Linked DNA regions of Callithrix jacchus. The protein of the gene in region 1 purifies or fractionates together with the protein of each later gene. This does not show direct contact. Links are inferred from orthologs where the notes say so. Each region holds a gene or a part of one and is shown in the gene's direction. Other genes may lie near its edges.

Region 1 (3,569 bases):
CCTAATGCAACAACATCTAACATACTTTCCGAGCTTAGGTCATTTGTAAGTGTAAACGACCATTCTTTCTCCATATTCTCAAGTTATGAATTTTAATATTGGTAATTTAATAACAAATGCTAGCCATTTAGATGAATTCTCTGTAAATATAATTAGTATGAATTCATTTTGAGGTAAAGCCTCAAAATAGTTAATATTATAACATTAATGTCACTCCTGAAAATGTTCAGTGTATACTCTTTATTAGCCCAAAGTAGTATTTTTTTAAAAAAATCTTGATGTGTCTGAGAGTTAGACTTTTGGGTGGTTAATTCTTGATCTAAAAAATGATAATTAAACCCTATAAAATCAAAACACTTTCTATACTGAAAGGGAACGTGGACTTAAAGACCGTGATAGCAGTGTACTTTTTCATTTCTGACTTTTCCTGGGCAAGCAGTAAGATATTTTTGGCACAAATGTTCCTAATTTTTGACAAGTGAATCATTCTGTCCTTAAACATAGTTGTTTAAATGGTTTTACTGGTTTCATTTTCCCTCTAGTAAGATCAATAATTAGACTAGAAAACACTAGAACTTATTCCTCCTAACTGTAATTTTGTACTCACCCACATCAATATGCAATATGCTATGATGTTATTACCTTTTAATTTCAGACCTTTAACAATAAAAGTATTTCCAGTACTTTTATGTATCAATGGATTACAAAGACTTAAAATGGATTTCTAAGAAACAATGTAATTACAGTTATTGTAAATCTTTGAAAGAAAAGTGATACATCTATTCAGCAGTTCTTTGCTTAAAATATTTTGATATTTGGAGTATAACTAACTAATAACACCCTGTTTTATCTTTTGTTTTTCAGGGGAGAACTGCAGATTTTCCTCCTTCAAAATTAAAGTCAGGTTGTGGAGAACCTGTATGCTATGTTCTTGATTGCTTAGCTGAAGAAGCATTGAAATATATTGGTTTCACCTGGAAAAGGTAAAAACTACCCAACCTGATAATAGTAATTTTGTGTGCAAAGCGTTTTCCTCTGAGGGTGCAGAGATGTTCAATTAAACATAAAATAATTATTTCTTTTTGACTATTCTAAATTGAAAATGGCACAGATAATTAAGAAAAGCCAGTATAGACAAAATTAGGATGTCTGATGTCTTGAAGATTAATTCTGAAGTAAGGCGTTACATATTATTGTGCCTCTTCCCTATTCAAATATGTAATTATTGAAGGTTTAACTGTGACTATATATCTTTGTAAATTCTGATATTTTTAAAAAGTCTCTCGTACATATATTTATACACACAAACATAGTATGTACACGGCGGGAACTGATAGCTACAGATTTAAGGAAAAACTGGAAATTAATATAGTACTTTAAGTGGGATTTTCTCCTTTACTTAAGTTACTGGGCAGGAATAATGAGGAAAGTACCTGACCCTCTCCTAGACATTGGTCATTGCTTTCGTGTCCAACTTGACAGTGCTTTGTTTATTTCTCTTATTATATTGCATTTATTCTATGGTATTAAAATGGTTATTTCTTTACTGTTCTGACGTTCTTGCTAGAAATCATGAAATCTTCGCAAGTACTCTGGAAGTTAGCATAATGCGTGGTGTATCTTAGATGTTTAATAGATATTGAGCATATAGATGAAACAAAACATTTGAAAACTCAATTTAAAGAGATTATAATTAGAAAATATAAATTTTATGCTCTGCAGTTTGGGATTATTAATAGGTTAGAATGTAGAAGGCACTACGCAGGTAAAATGTGAGTGAGCAATGTTTTCTTAATTAGAACTAACTTCTGTAGAAAGATATATATATGTCTTTATATATGTATATATATATAGAAATATATATATATACACATATATATATTATTTCCTGTTAACATTTTAATGTATATTCAGTTATATTCTTTTAGATACAATCTCCCTATTAAGTTTCTTTAATAACTTCCTTGAATTAGCTTATTGGGATGAGCCATATAAAATTACTCATATTCATCTATTTTTAAACTAAAAAATGGCAATTTCATATGCTTCAATCCAAACATGCAAGAGAAGATAAGTTACGAGATGTATTTAGCATTTTCAAAAGTTACTGAATCCATATCCCAGTATATTGTAAATTCACCAGAAGCTATTGTGTAGAGTCTCAACCACTAGTCTATTTTGCACTTCCTTTGTTTCCTGCCACAACTTATTCCTGGCCTATGTATTGTAATTTGGATAATTTATTTTTTAGTTTTGTTTTTAATTGACACATAATAACTGTAAATTTTGGGGTACAGTGTGATGTTTCAATACATGTATGCAATATACAATGATCACATTAGTGACATTAACGTATCCATCATTTCAAACATTTATCATTTGTTTGTGGTGAGACCACTCTAAATCTCTTTAAGCTATTTTCAAATATATAATATATTATTGTTAACTAATATATAATATTGTTAACTGTAGTCACCCTTCTGTGCACTGGAACACTAGACCTTACTTTGTACTCACCCACTTTGACCAACTGCTCCCCATTCTCCTTTCCCCCTACCCTTCCCAGCTTATTGTAACCCCTGTTATACTCTCCACTTCTGCGATATTTGTATTTCTGTGCCTAGCTTATTTCACTTGACATAATGTCCTCCAGGCTTATATGGGTTGCTGCAAATGACAGAATTTCGTTCTCCCTTATGAATAGTATTCCACTATGTAAATATGCCACACTTTCTTTCTCCATTCAACCTTTGATGGATACTTAGGTTGGATTCCATATCTTGAGTATTGTGAATAGTGCTGCAGTGAACATCGGAGTGCAGATATCTCTAACATACTGATTTCTTTTTTTTTTTTTTTTTTTTGGATATATAATCAGTACTGGGAGTGATTGCTGGATCATAGAGTAGTTGTATTTTTAGTGTTCTGAGGAACCTCCACAGTGTTCTCCATAGTGGCTGTACTAATACTGTACATACCCACCAATAGTGTACAAGGGTTCCCGTTTCTCCATATCCTCACCAGCTTTTGTTATTTGTGGGGGCGAGGGGTTGAGTAACAGCTGTTCTAACTGGGGTGAGATGGTATCTCATTGTGGTTTTGATTTGCATTTCCCTGATGATGTTGGGCATTTTTACATGTATCTGTTGGCTATTTTTATGCAAGTTTTGAGAAATATCTATTAAGATTTTCTGCCCATTTTCCAAATTGGACTACTTAGTTTCTTTGTTGTTGTTTTGCTACTGAGTTGCTTGAGTTTATTATACATACTGGGTGTTAACTTCTTGTCAGATGGGTGGTTTGCAGATATCTTCCCCCATTCTGTGGGTTGTCTCTTCACTCTTGATTGTTTCCTTAAGTTTGATATAATCGTGTTTGTCTATTTTTGCTTTTGTTGCCTGTGCTTTTGAGGTCTTATCCAACAAATTCTTGTCCAGACAATGTCGTGAAGTGTTTTTCCCCACATTTTCTCTAGCATCTTCAGTTTCAGGTTGTATATTTAAGTCTTTAATCCCTTTTGAGTTGGTTTTTGTAAGTGGTTAGAGGTAGGGGTCTAGTTTCATTCTTTT
Region 2 (4,356 bases), on another chromosome or scaffold:
CTCGCTCTGTCGCCCAGGCTGGAGTGAATGTAGTGGCCCAATCTCAGTTCACTACAACCTCTGCCTCCCAGGCTCAAGCAATCCTTCTGCCTCAGCTTCCGGAGTGGCTGGTACTACAGGTGCGTGCCACCAAGTACTTTTTTTTTTTTTTTTTAATGGCGAAGGTGGTTTTCGCTATGTTGCTCTAGCTAGTCTTGAACTCCTGGACTCAAGCAGTCTTCCCAGCTCTGCCTCTGGAAGTGCTGGGATTACCGGCATGAGCCACCCCCCACCCCCGGCCTCCAGTATTTTATGTCTCTCTCTCCCTGACTTCCCAAATTAATTATATCTATAGTTTGAAAATATTTGTTCCTTACATCTCCATTCACTTATTCTTTGATTCATCCACCCAAGGAGCATTTTTAGTGTCTAATTTCTGCAAGGTACTGGTGTTACAAAGTTTAAAAATTAATTAGACACAAATCCTGCTTTAAATAAATTCAGTTTTCTTTAGCAAATAAGAAAGGACACATAGTTAAATTTGAATCTCAGAGCCCGGCGAGGTGGCCCACGCCTGTAATCCCAGCACTTTAGGAAACCGAGGCAGGTGGATCACGAGGTCAGGAGTTTGAGACCAGCCTGACCAACATGGTGAAACCCCGTCTCTACTAACAAAAATTAGCTAGGCGTGGTGTTGCGTGCCTGTAATCCCAGCTACTCAGGAGGTTGAGGCAGGAGAATTGCTTGAACCTGAGAGGCAGAGGTTGCAGTGAGCCGAGATTGCGCCACTGCACCCCAGCCTGGGCGACGGAGCGAGACTGTCTCAAAAAACAAACAAACAAAAACAAAAAACAAAACAAAAAAACACTGAGGCCAGGAGCTGTGGCTCACGCCTATAATCCCAGTACTTTGGGAGGCTGAGGCGGGTGGATCACGAGGTCAAGAGATCAAGACCATGCTGGTCAGCAAGGTGAAACCCCGTCTCTACTAAAAATACAAAAATTAGCTGGGCATGGTGGTGCACGCCTGTAGTCCCAGCTACTCGGGAGGCTGAGGCAGGAGAATTGCTTGAACCCAGGAGACGGAGGTTGCGGTGAGCCGAGATCGCGCCATTGCACTCCAGCCTGGGTAACAAGAGCGAAACTCCGTCTCAAAAAAAAAAAAAAAAAAAAAAGGAACCTCAGATACACAAGGAATAACTTATTAGTATAATTATGTGCCATGCCATGGCACCATGTGGTGGGGGAGACTATATTGTAACATAGTGCTGTACAGAGTGCTGCAGAATTTTCCCTGGAGAGTGTGTCTACATTCTGGTAAGACTGATTAGGAGGAACTGCACCCCCAGAGATTGTTGCCCTGGGTGAAACAAACGCACTCAGTTTCCAGATTGCAGAGCTAACTCTGCGAGCCCGAAACTTCATCAGCCGGCGTTGCCATCCGCAGCCGCTAGATGCCGCAACAGACGCATTTACTGAAACCATAGACAAACGCGACATGGCCGCCCAGAGAGGCTTTATTCGTGCCCTCTGGATCTTCTTCCTGCGTAGACAGCCTTCGCGGGTGAGGCGTAACGTGCGGGAGGTCTCACGAGAGTGGAAGCAAATCTCGCGAATTTCAACTTAACCTTTTTACCTAGCGACTGAAAACAGGCAGTTGCTCGGCGTAGAATCTAAGTGGCCCGACTTTGACACTGGAGTGATACCCCAGCCCTAGGCTGGGGTTCTTTCCATTATAGAGGAGACGGATTCAGAGGGGCTACAGGTAATTAGTACTCACCCCAGCAGAAAGGGTACTGTCTTTCTAGAGGGGCTTAAGAGGACTCCCCTTTACCCCATCCCCGGTTACCTCTTCCCATCTCCATGATAACTGTTCCTTTGCCACCGTGACCAACCATCCTGTTTCCTTTATTCCCCACCAGACTTAGGTGGGATCTTATCTGCAAGTCGAGGGTGAAGGTGGAGGTGATGCTTTTGGGATTATTGGATCGGACTGAGAGACTGGAGTTTCCCCTCTTTTTGGGGTCCCTCCCTCCCCACCCCACCCCACCCCACAGCTGGCTCCAGAGACAAAACTCTTCCTAGGACCTCTGCAGCCTCCCCGGAGAAACCTCATCAGCCTTGGCCATCGACTTACGAATAGTGTTCTGCCCTTGCGCGTGGTCTTACAGCTTTGGCAAGCTGCAGAAGTTGGCTCTCTTTCCCTCCACGATTCCCTGGTTGCTCAGCCAGCCTGCCAGCAATTCTTAAATAAGGGCTGCAACAGAATGACTTAACTGCTTAACCGGGGGCCAAGAAGCCTTAAGGAAAGTTTGATGGGGTGACAGTTTTATGAAAAACTGGTTTCTTGGGTAAGGAAGAGGAGCCAATGCTGGTTTGGAATATATAATGTCCCATGATAGGAGCTATGTAATCGTGTCTCCTTTTGCTTAGACCGAGGTTGTTGAAAACCAGACATATGATGAGCGTCTAGAGATTAACGACTCAGAAGAGGTTGCAAGTATTTATACTCCAACCCCAAGACACCAAGGTAAGAAAGGAATGAAAAGGAAGAGAAATGGTACTCAAAGAACAGGATGGATTCACAGTTGTCTTCAAGAAGTTCTTATTTTATTTTATTTTAAATTTATTATTTTTTTGAAACGGAGTCTCCCTCTGTTGCCCAGGCTGGTGTGCAGTGGTGCAATCTCAGCTCACTGCAACCTCCGCCTGCCAGGTTCACACGATTCTCTGGCCTCAGCCTCCTGAGTAGCTGGGACTACGGGCACATCCTTCCATGCCTGGCTAAGTTTTTTTTTTTTTTTTTTTTTGTAGTTTTGTGGCGATGGGGTTTCATCATGTTTGCCAGGCTGGTCTTGAACTCCTGACCTCAGGTGATCCACCCTCCTCAGCGTCCCAAAGTGCTGGGATTACAGGCGTGAGCCACTGCGCCTGGCCGAAGTTCCTATTTTATAATAGCATATGTTGACTTTTCAGAGTCAAGTTACTTCACTTGCTATTGTTTGTTTTCTTACTAGTTAAGGTGGAAAAATCATAGCCTTCCAAATTACAGGATTTTCCCCCAATCCAACCCTATCACCATTTACTTCATGTTACTGCTTTGCTCACTATCTGCCAGGAATTCACTGTTCTTTTTTTTTTTTTTTAACTTATGTTTTCCCCAGCTTTGAAGATGCTTCATAATCTGCCCTTAGCCTGCATCCCCAACCCAAATCACAGTGAAATATTTTTAGAGGACTGGACACGATTTATTTATTCAACAAATTTTTTTTTTCTTAATTTTATAGAGACGAGGTCTTGCTATGTTGCCGAGGCTGATCTTGAACTCCTAGCCTCATGCAGTCCTTCCACTTCGGCCTCCCAAAGTGCCAGGATTACAGGTGTGAGCCATCTTGCCTAAAATTTTAAAATGCCTACTATGTGCCAGCCTTATGCCTGGCACTTGGGTAAATAGTGTTAAATGACACAATGTCCCTGCTATCTCAATGCTTGTAGTCATGGGAGGCAAATGACAAATGAGTAAACAAATTCCAAATGTGGAAAGTGCTCTGATGGAGGAAGATTGTTTGCTGTGAAGGAGAATAACAGTGAGGAAGGAGACCCACACTTTTTTGAGATAGAGTCTCACTGTATCGCCCAAGCTAGAGTGCAGTGGTGCAATCTCGGCTCGCTACAACCTCCGCCTCCTGATTTCAAGCAATCCTCCCGCCTCAGCCTTCCGAGTAGCTGGCATTACCACGCCCAGCTAATTTTTGTATTTTTAGTAGAGACGGGGTTTCACCGTGTTGGCCAGGCTGGTCTTGGACTCCTGACCTCAAGCGATCTCCCACCTCAGCTTCCCAAAGTGCTGGGATCACAGGCATTAGCCATCCCGCCCAGCCAGAGACCCACTTTTGATAGGGTGATCAGGGAAGATCTAAAGGGGCGCTATGTGAGACTGAAAGATGGCAAGAATCCAGACACTGAGGAAAAGTAGGCCAGGAAGAGGAAATAATATGTGAGATGTGAAAAACCTTGAAGCCTGAAAGAACTTGGCTTAGTTTGAGGACCTGAGAGACCAGTTTACAGTAGAGGGGACTCTACTGTGTGATACAGTCAGATCAGAGAGGTAGGGCAGGAGGCATAACAAGCAGAGCTTTGGAGGCTGTGTTGCTGTCGTGTGTGGAATGGACTGTTGGGATGGCTGAGTTGAGATGATAGTGGCTTGGCCTCTGGTGAGGAAGTTGAGAATAAGGAAAAGAGGCAAATGCTATACCAGACAGATGGTCGTAGAATCACTAAGACTTGCTGGACTGGTTTTAACTCGTGAGTTAGGAATCAAGGATGACATCCAGGGTTTCTGTTTGTTTATTGTGGTGAAATATACATAACATAAAAT
Region 3 (2,691 bases), on another chromosome or scaffold:
TACCCTCACTGCTTGGTCTTACTGATCCCAACTTTTCCTCCACCCCTGTACAGAACTACAAGATTCTGCACAAATACGTGGCTTTGTATGCAACTCACTTGATCCGAGAGGGTAGCTCTGCCCAGGCATTGGCCCTGTATGTACATCACGGAGCCCCTGCTAACCCACAGGTACCTGCCTTCTTCTTGGGTTAAATGTTTCCACAAGGAAACTGTTTCTCCTCTCCTCTCAGGAACTATCTTCTCAGAGGATTCTATCCTTAGAGAACGTCATGTCCAGAGCCTGCCATGCATCTTCAGAAATGTACAGCCTCTCTGGAGGTTGTGTATTTGCTAAGAGCATGGAGAGAAGTTTGCAGAAACTTACAACTTCTGTTTAAAGAAACACCCTCCCAGCACTTTGGGAGGCCGAGGCGGGTGGATCACGAGGTCAAGAGATCAAGACCATCCTGGTCAACATGGTGAAACCCCGTCTCTACTAAAAATACAAAAAATTAGCTGGGCACAGTGGTGCGTGCCTGTAATTTCAGCTACTCAGGAGGATGAGGCAGAATTGCCTGAACACAGGAGGCAGAGGTTGTCGTGAGCCGAGATTGCACCATTGCACTCCAGCCTGGGTAACAAGAGCGAAACTCCGTCTCAAAAAGAAAAGAAAAGAAACACCCATGGAGCTCCCCATGCTGTTAGCAAATACACAGCCACCTGTCTTTCAGAGATGAATCCTACACACACCTCTAGGTTTTTTACTGACTTCCTCCAGAGAATGAACACTGCTCCCTGATCTGAGAGTCACAGCCCATTAATGTTGTAACTCTGTACTTACATTTGTACAGTTGCCCACTCACAGAGCACCAGCTAAAAAATAGTTATTTTCTTCCTCTTTTCTCTTCATCAAAAATAAACAGCACTTATGAATAATTCACTTCATTAAAAAAATCAGCACTTAATAATCTACCACTGTCTCCCAGCTCTTGAACACACACATAACTATTTCTACACACAAAGCCTGTCCCTTTTGCCCCACTTTCACTGACTTTCTCTTCTAGCTGTGCCCTTCTCAAATGCCCTTCTCCCCTCTACCTCTAGAACTTCAATATCTACAAAAGGATCTTCACTGACATGGTGAGCTCTCCTGGGACCAACTGCGCTGAGGCCTATCATAGCTGGGCTGATCTTCGAGATGTCCTTTTCAACCTGGTGAGGAAGTTGGGTTGACAAGAGTAAAAGGGCTGCTCTGCCTGTCCTTGTCTTCATCTCTTCTTTCATGCATGTAAACCTTTATTCTCAGATGTATTTTACCTTCCTCTGCCAGGTGGCCATCGGAGACCACTCTATGGCCTTGGCACTCCTCTGACCCCTGAGCCAGGCTGTGCTGTCTCCCTCTTCTAGTGTGAAAACCTGGTGAAGTCCAGTGAGGCAAACTCTCCAGCCCATGAGGAGTTCAAGACGATGCTGCTGATCGCTCATTACTATGCCACCCGCTCTGCAGCCCAGAGTGTCAAACAGCTGGTGAGATGTAGAGGGGGCAGAGGAGCACTCAGTCAGTTTCACACACTGCAGATGTATGAAACTGAATTGTCTCACATTCTGGATTCTTCAACTTAGGCTCTTGAATCTGCTCCCTCTCTTTCAGCTTCTCTTCTGTCTAAACAAATCTTTAGCCCTTGCTGAGGTTTTCTTCTCACCTTCTTAGGGCTCTGTGCCCACACAGCTCCAGCTTCATTATGTTTAAACATCCAAATCCCATGATTTCTTTATTCACCTCTTGTAATGTACACATATTTTGGGCTTATTTATGACTGTTTACTATATATTTATATCATGTACCTGGATAATAGAATTCTAGAAGTGGAAAGAACCTTAGAAAGAATCTAGGCAGCCAGGCACAGTGGCTCACACCTGTAATCCCAGCACTTTGGGAGGGGAGCCTTAGGTAGGTGGGCCACTTGAGGTCAGGGGTTCAAGACCAGCCTGGCCAACATGGCAAAATCCCATACTAAAAATATAAAAATTAACTTGGCATGATAGTGCACGCTTGTAGTCCTAACTTGGGAGGCTGAGGCATGAGAATTGCTTGAATCTGGGAGGCAGAAGTTGCAATGAGCTGAAATTGCACTCCAGCCTGGGCAACAGAGTAAGACTCTATTTAAAAAAAAAAAAAAAAAAAAAATTGAAACTAGGCCCAGGTCTCTTATTCAGAAAAAAATAAATAAATAAAAATAAGACCCAGAACAGCTCGAGCTCCAGAGCAGTATAATATTGCTTGTTGTTTTTAGTTCTGTGGCTGCTTTACAGGATCATTGGTCTGTAGCTCAGTCACTTTAGTGCCGTATTCATAATGCTTTGACTTTAATCCCAGGAAACTGTGGCTGCCAGGCTTTCTGTTTCACTCTTGCGTCACACCCAGCTACTACCTGTAGACAAAGCCTTCTATGAAGCAGGCATTGCTGCCAAGGTGAGCTGGGACAAGGAAGGGTGGGGCAGATGGGAGGAAGTCAAAGGTTGGAAAATAGAGAATATCCCTTCTGCTCAGGTAGCAGAAAGCTGAGTGTAGGGCTGAAGTTGTGGAGGATATAATCCTCCTATGTCTTCCTGGATTTTTCTCCTGCATCCCAGAGAAGTAACATCCAGGCCCAGCTTGCTCACTCCCATTTGCAACTTTTCTCTGCTGCAGGCAGTTGGCTGGGAGAAC
Region 4 (3,569 bases), on another chromosome or scaffold:
ATTGAAAATGAATACTTCTGAAAGATATACTGTTGCTAAATTAATTTATGTTTGTCCTGAAGGTATTTTGTGCTTAGAAAGATTCAAATTGAGGTAATCCCAGCACTTTGGGAGGCCAAGGTGAGAGAATAATTTGAACTCAGAAATTTGAGAGCAGTCTGGCTGACTTAGCAGGACCTTGTCTCTGCTCAAAATAAAAAAATAAGAATGTTAGTTAGGCATGGTGTTGTGTGCCTTTAGTCCCAGATACTTGGGAGGCTGAGGTTGGGGAATGGCTTGAGCTAAGAAGTTGGAGCCTGTAGTGAGGCATGATTGTATCATAGTCCAGCCTGGGTGGAAAGTCATGTGGTGTCAAGAAAGAGGAAAGTTGAGAGAGAGAGAGAGAGAGAGAGAGAGAGAGGGAGAGGGAGAGAAAAGGAGGAGGAGGAGGGGGAGGGGGAAGGGGAGGAGAAGGAGGAGGAGGCGGAGGCGGGGGAGAGAGAAGAAAGGAGGGAGAGAGGGATTCAAATTGTGGAGAGAGGGATTCAGATTGTAAAGGTACTTGTATTCTGTTGAGTTTCAACTCTGTGGTTTACTTATTTTTATGACACCATCATCCGTGGAGGAGGGAGAAGGGAGGGAAGGAGGGAGAACAAAGGAGGGAGGGAAGGATTCAAACTGTAAAGATACCACCAAGTTGTATATTCTATTGAGTTTCAACTTCTTGTTTACTTATTTTTTTGACACCATCATCAGTGGTTTTATTGCCAAGTTGTAACAGGAGCAAAGTGCTCAGAGCATCAAAAAGACCTGACACCTGGACATTATATGGCCTTTAGGAAATCAGTTGACGTTTCTTATGCCGTAATTTCTCCTATGTAAAATGGAATGCTTTACTACAACATTAGTTCTCATCTAACTACATTGTGGGAAGAAACATTGTTGGTAGTCAGTAATCAAGTTTAAAATGAATTAGTTCCAAAAGATGAATTCCACTGGGCTTCAGTATCCTTAATCTATGAAATAAAGAGATTGAAATACATATTTTCCTCTTTCAAATTCTGTGAGCTCATATACCTATGCAAATTGTAGCAGAAGCTCATATACCTATACAAATTGTAGCAGCAGGAAACACGTTTGTTATACTGTTGAAATTGAAGCTCCAATTGAAGATATCACTTCTCCGACAAAAATAAATAAATTGAGGCAAAAATAAATTGAAATTCCAGGTTGTCTGTTTTATTATGTTCATCTTTTACTTGGTTATTTTGGAGATTTTTTTTGTAGAGAAATTTCTGAATTTAGGTTGTTTATTCTAATAGTAGGATATGAATGTGTAGAAGTTGTATAGGGGATATGTGGATCTACAGCCTTATTTGGTGATTCTGAAAACTGCAGAGGTTGGTATCTGTGAGTGAAAGAGAGTAAATAGTGATAGGTGAATCAGATTTTGAATCCCAAAATGGAAATTAATGATCTTGGGACTAAAAATGTATGTTGAATCAAGCTTTTTATAAAATGTGAATCTTTTTTTTTTTTTAGGTGGAGTTTTGCTCTTGTTACCCAGGCTGGAGTGCAATGGCGTCATCTCTGCTCACTGCAACCTCCGCCTCCTGGGTTCAGGCAGTTCTCCTGCCTCAGCCTCCTGAGTAGCTGGGATTACAGGCACGCACCACCATGCCCAGCTAATTTTTTGTGTTTTTAGTAGAGACGGGGTTTCACCATGTTGACCAGGATGGTCTCGATCTCTTGACCTCGTGATCCACCCCCCTCGGCCTCCCAAAGTGCTGGGATTACAGGCTTGAACCCGGCTAAAATGTGAATCTTGAAAGTATTTAGATAAGTGGCATCTTACCTATTTTTTTTGCAGAATTTTTCTCCACCTTATCAGTAATTGACCTTCCCTAGGCAATAAGTGACATGTCATTGGTATTTCTTTGGATTCTATAATAAAAATGGTTATTGCTTCTAATTAATTTCGCTATTACTACTTTTATATGATTACGTGTGTAATCTTTCAGTTATTTTTTAGAGACAGTAGCTTAATATTTTGCCGTGCTAAAAAATAGCAATAGTTTGTGAAATAGCAACGTTAACTAAAGCAGTAAGTAAAAGAGAATTTAAGCAAGTATATTACTAATCTAAAGCCATAATTTTTAAAAAATTGAATTGAACTGTAGATTTCTCTACTCCCTAGTTCTGTCAGAGCTGCACTGCATGATTTACATAGCAAACTGCTATACGATACTTAATTTGGTCAAAAAATTTTATGGCTGACGGATGCTTGAAAACCACAATTCTAAAACTTCTTGTCTAAACTTTAAAGGTACGATTTTAAAAATGTATAAATGCATCCTCATATATATAAGTTATTAAGGATTTTCTCTGATAATCTTTGTGATTTCTTAGTAAAGTAAAATGGAGAGTAAGGAAGTAGAGGAATTTGGGGATGGAGAAGAGAAAGATGTAAAGTAAGTTTGTGCTAATGGGGCCAAATTTTATATAGGTCAAATAGCATTTTTTAGTACAAATATAAAGACTTTTCAGTCACACACTATGGTTGAATATCTTTAAGTATTCTGTTAAATTAGGACTGTGACTTGTGTAAAATAATTGGATTTTTTTTTTCAGTATTGCATCAGGAGTATTATGTGCTTTTGATTTCAGGAAAGAAAAACAAATAAGAAGCGTAGAAGAAGAAATTGAACAGGAAAAACAAGCAGCAGATGACATTATCAAAAATATGTCTCTTGAAAACCAAGTCAAGTACCTGGAGATGAAAACCACAAATGAGAAACTATTACAGGTGATAGCAATTCCTACTGTGTGCCAAGCACATATCAGTCTTGCTACTAAAAGTATAGTTTAAATGTCAGCAGCATCAGCATCCCGTGAGCACTTGACTAGACTTTGAGATCAGAGTTTTCATTTTAACAGGGTCCCCAGCTGATTCATACAGACATTCATATTTGAGAAGTATTTATTTAGAAAACGTAATTTTCTTACACTGCTTGACGACCTAGCTTTTACTCTAATTATTTTTTGTTCACTTCCGTTTATTCATTTTGCATTTCATAAAGATGCATGAAATACTTGCATTTATTAAAAATACTTGTCTAGGCCGGGCGCGGTGGCTCACGCCTATAATCCTAGCACTTTGGGAGGCCGAGGCGGGTGGATCACGAGGTCAAGAGATCGAGACCATCCTGGTCAACAAGGTGAAACCCTGTCTCTACTAAAAATGGAAAAATTAGCTGGGCACAGTGGTGCATGCCTGTAGTCCCAGCTACTCAGGAGGCTAAGGCAGGAGAATCGCTTGAACCCAGAAGGCGGAGGTTGTGGTGAGCCGAGATCGTGCCATTGCACTCCAGTCTAGGTAACAACAGCGAAACTCCGTCTCAAAAAAAAACTTGTCTATAAATACTTGCACTTATAAAAATACTTGCCTATAAATTTTAAAAGTCTATGACGTATGAGGCCTTTTAACATTTTAATGCAATCATTAAGAGGCATCATAGGTCACAGGTGGAGGTTGCAGTGAGCCGAGATTGCACCACTGCACCACTCCAGCCTGGGTGATAGAGTGAGAC

Evidence for each region.
Region 2: the proteins of IFT57 (region 1) and IFT46 purify together in Homo sapiens (affinity purification with mass spectrometry; 3 studies listed by BioGRID and IntAct, counting the BioPlex papers as one, with this or other methods). This does not show direct contact. The link is inferred for Callithrix jacchus from reciprocal best matches to the Homo sapiens genes IFT57 and IFT46.
Region 3: the proteins of IFT57 (region 1) and IFT172 purify together in Homo sapiens (affinity purification with mass spectrometry; 3 studies listed by BioGRID and IntAct, counting the BioPlex papers as one, with this or other methods). This does not show direct contact. The link is inferred for Callithrix jacchus from reciprocal best matches to the Homo sapiens genes IFT57 and IFT172.
Region 4: the proteins of IFT57 (region 1) and IFT74 purify together in Homo sapiens (affinity purification with mass spectrometry; 3 studies listed by BioGRID and IntAct, counting the BioPlex papers as one, with this or other methods). This does not show direct contact. The link is inferred for Callithrix jacchus from reciprocal best matches to the Homo sapiens genes IFT57 and IFT74.

What each region holds. Positions count from the first base shown.
Region 1 is NC_133516.1:99,272,755-99,276,323, reverse strand, and holds part of IFT57 (intraflagellar transport protein 57 homolog), read left to right. Parts: coding exon 1-45; intron 46-864; coding exon 865-983; intron 984-3,569. UniProt on the Homo sapiens protein: Required for the formation of cilia. Plays an indirect role in sonic hedgehog signaling, cilia being required for all activity of the hedgehog pathway.
Region 2 is NC_133511.1:18,216,108-18,220,463, reverse strand, and holds the start of IFT46 (intraflagellar transport protein 46 homolog), read left to right. Parts: upstream 1-1,531; 5' UTR 1,532-1,743; intron 1,744-2,411; 5' UTR 2,412-2,508; intron 2,509-3,265; 5' UTR 3,266-3,358; intron 3,359-4,356. UniProt on the Homo sapiens protein: Forms part of a complex involved in intraflagellar transport (IFT), the bi-directional movement of particles required for the assembly, maintenance and functioning of primary cilia. May play a role in chondrocyte maturation and skeletogenesis.
Region 3 is NC_133515.1:87,579,201-87,581,891, forward strand, and holds part of IFT172 (intraflagellar transport protein 172 homolog), read left to right. Parts: intron 1-53; coding exon 54-170; intron 171-1,085; coding exon 1,086-1,196; intron 1,197-1,388; coding exon 1,389-1,508; intron 1,509-2,358; coding exon 2,359-2,454; intron 2,455-2,673; coding exon 2,674-2,691. UniProt on the Homo sapiens protein: Required for the maintenance and formation of cilia. Plays an indirect role in hedgehog (Hh) signaling, cilia being required for all activity of the hedgehog pathway.
Region 4 is NC_133502.1:134,177,626-134,181,194, forward strand, and holds part of IFT74 (intraflagellar transport protein 74 homolog), read left to right. Parts: intron 1-2,646; coding exon 2,647-2,785; intron 2,786-3,569. UniProt on the Homo sapiens protein: Component of the intraflagellar transport (IFT) complex B: together with IFT81, forms a tubulin-binding module that specifically mediates transport of tubulin within the cilium. Binds beta-tubulin via its basic region. Required for ciliogenesis.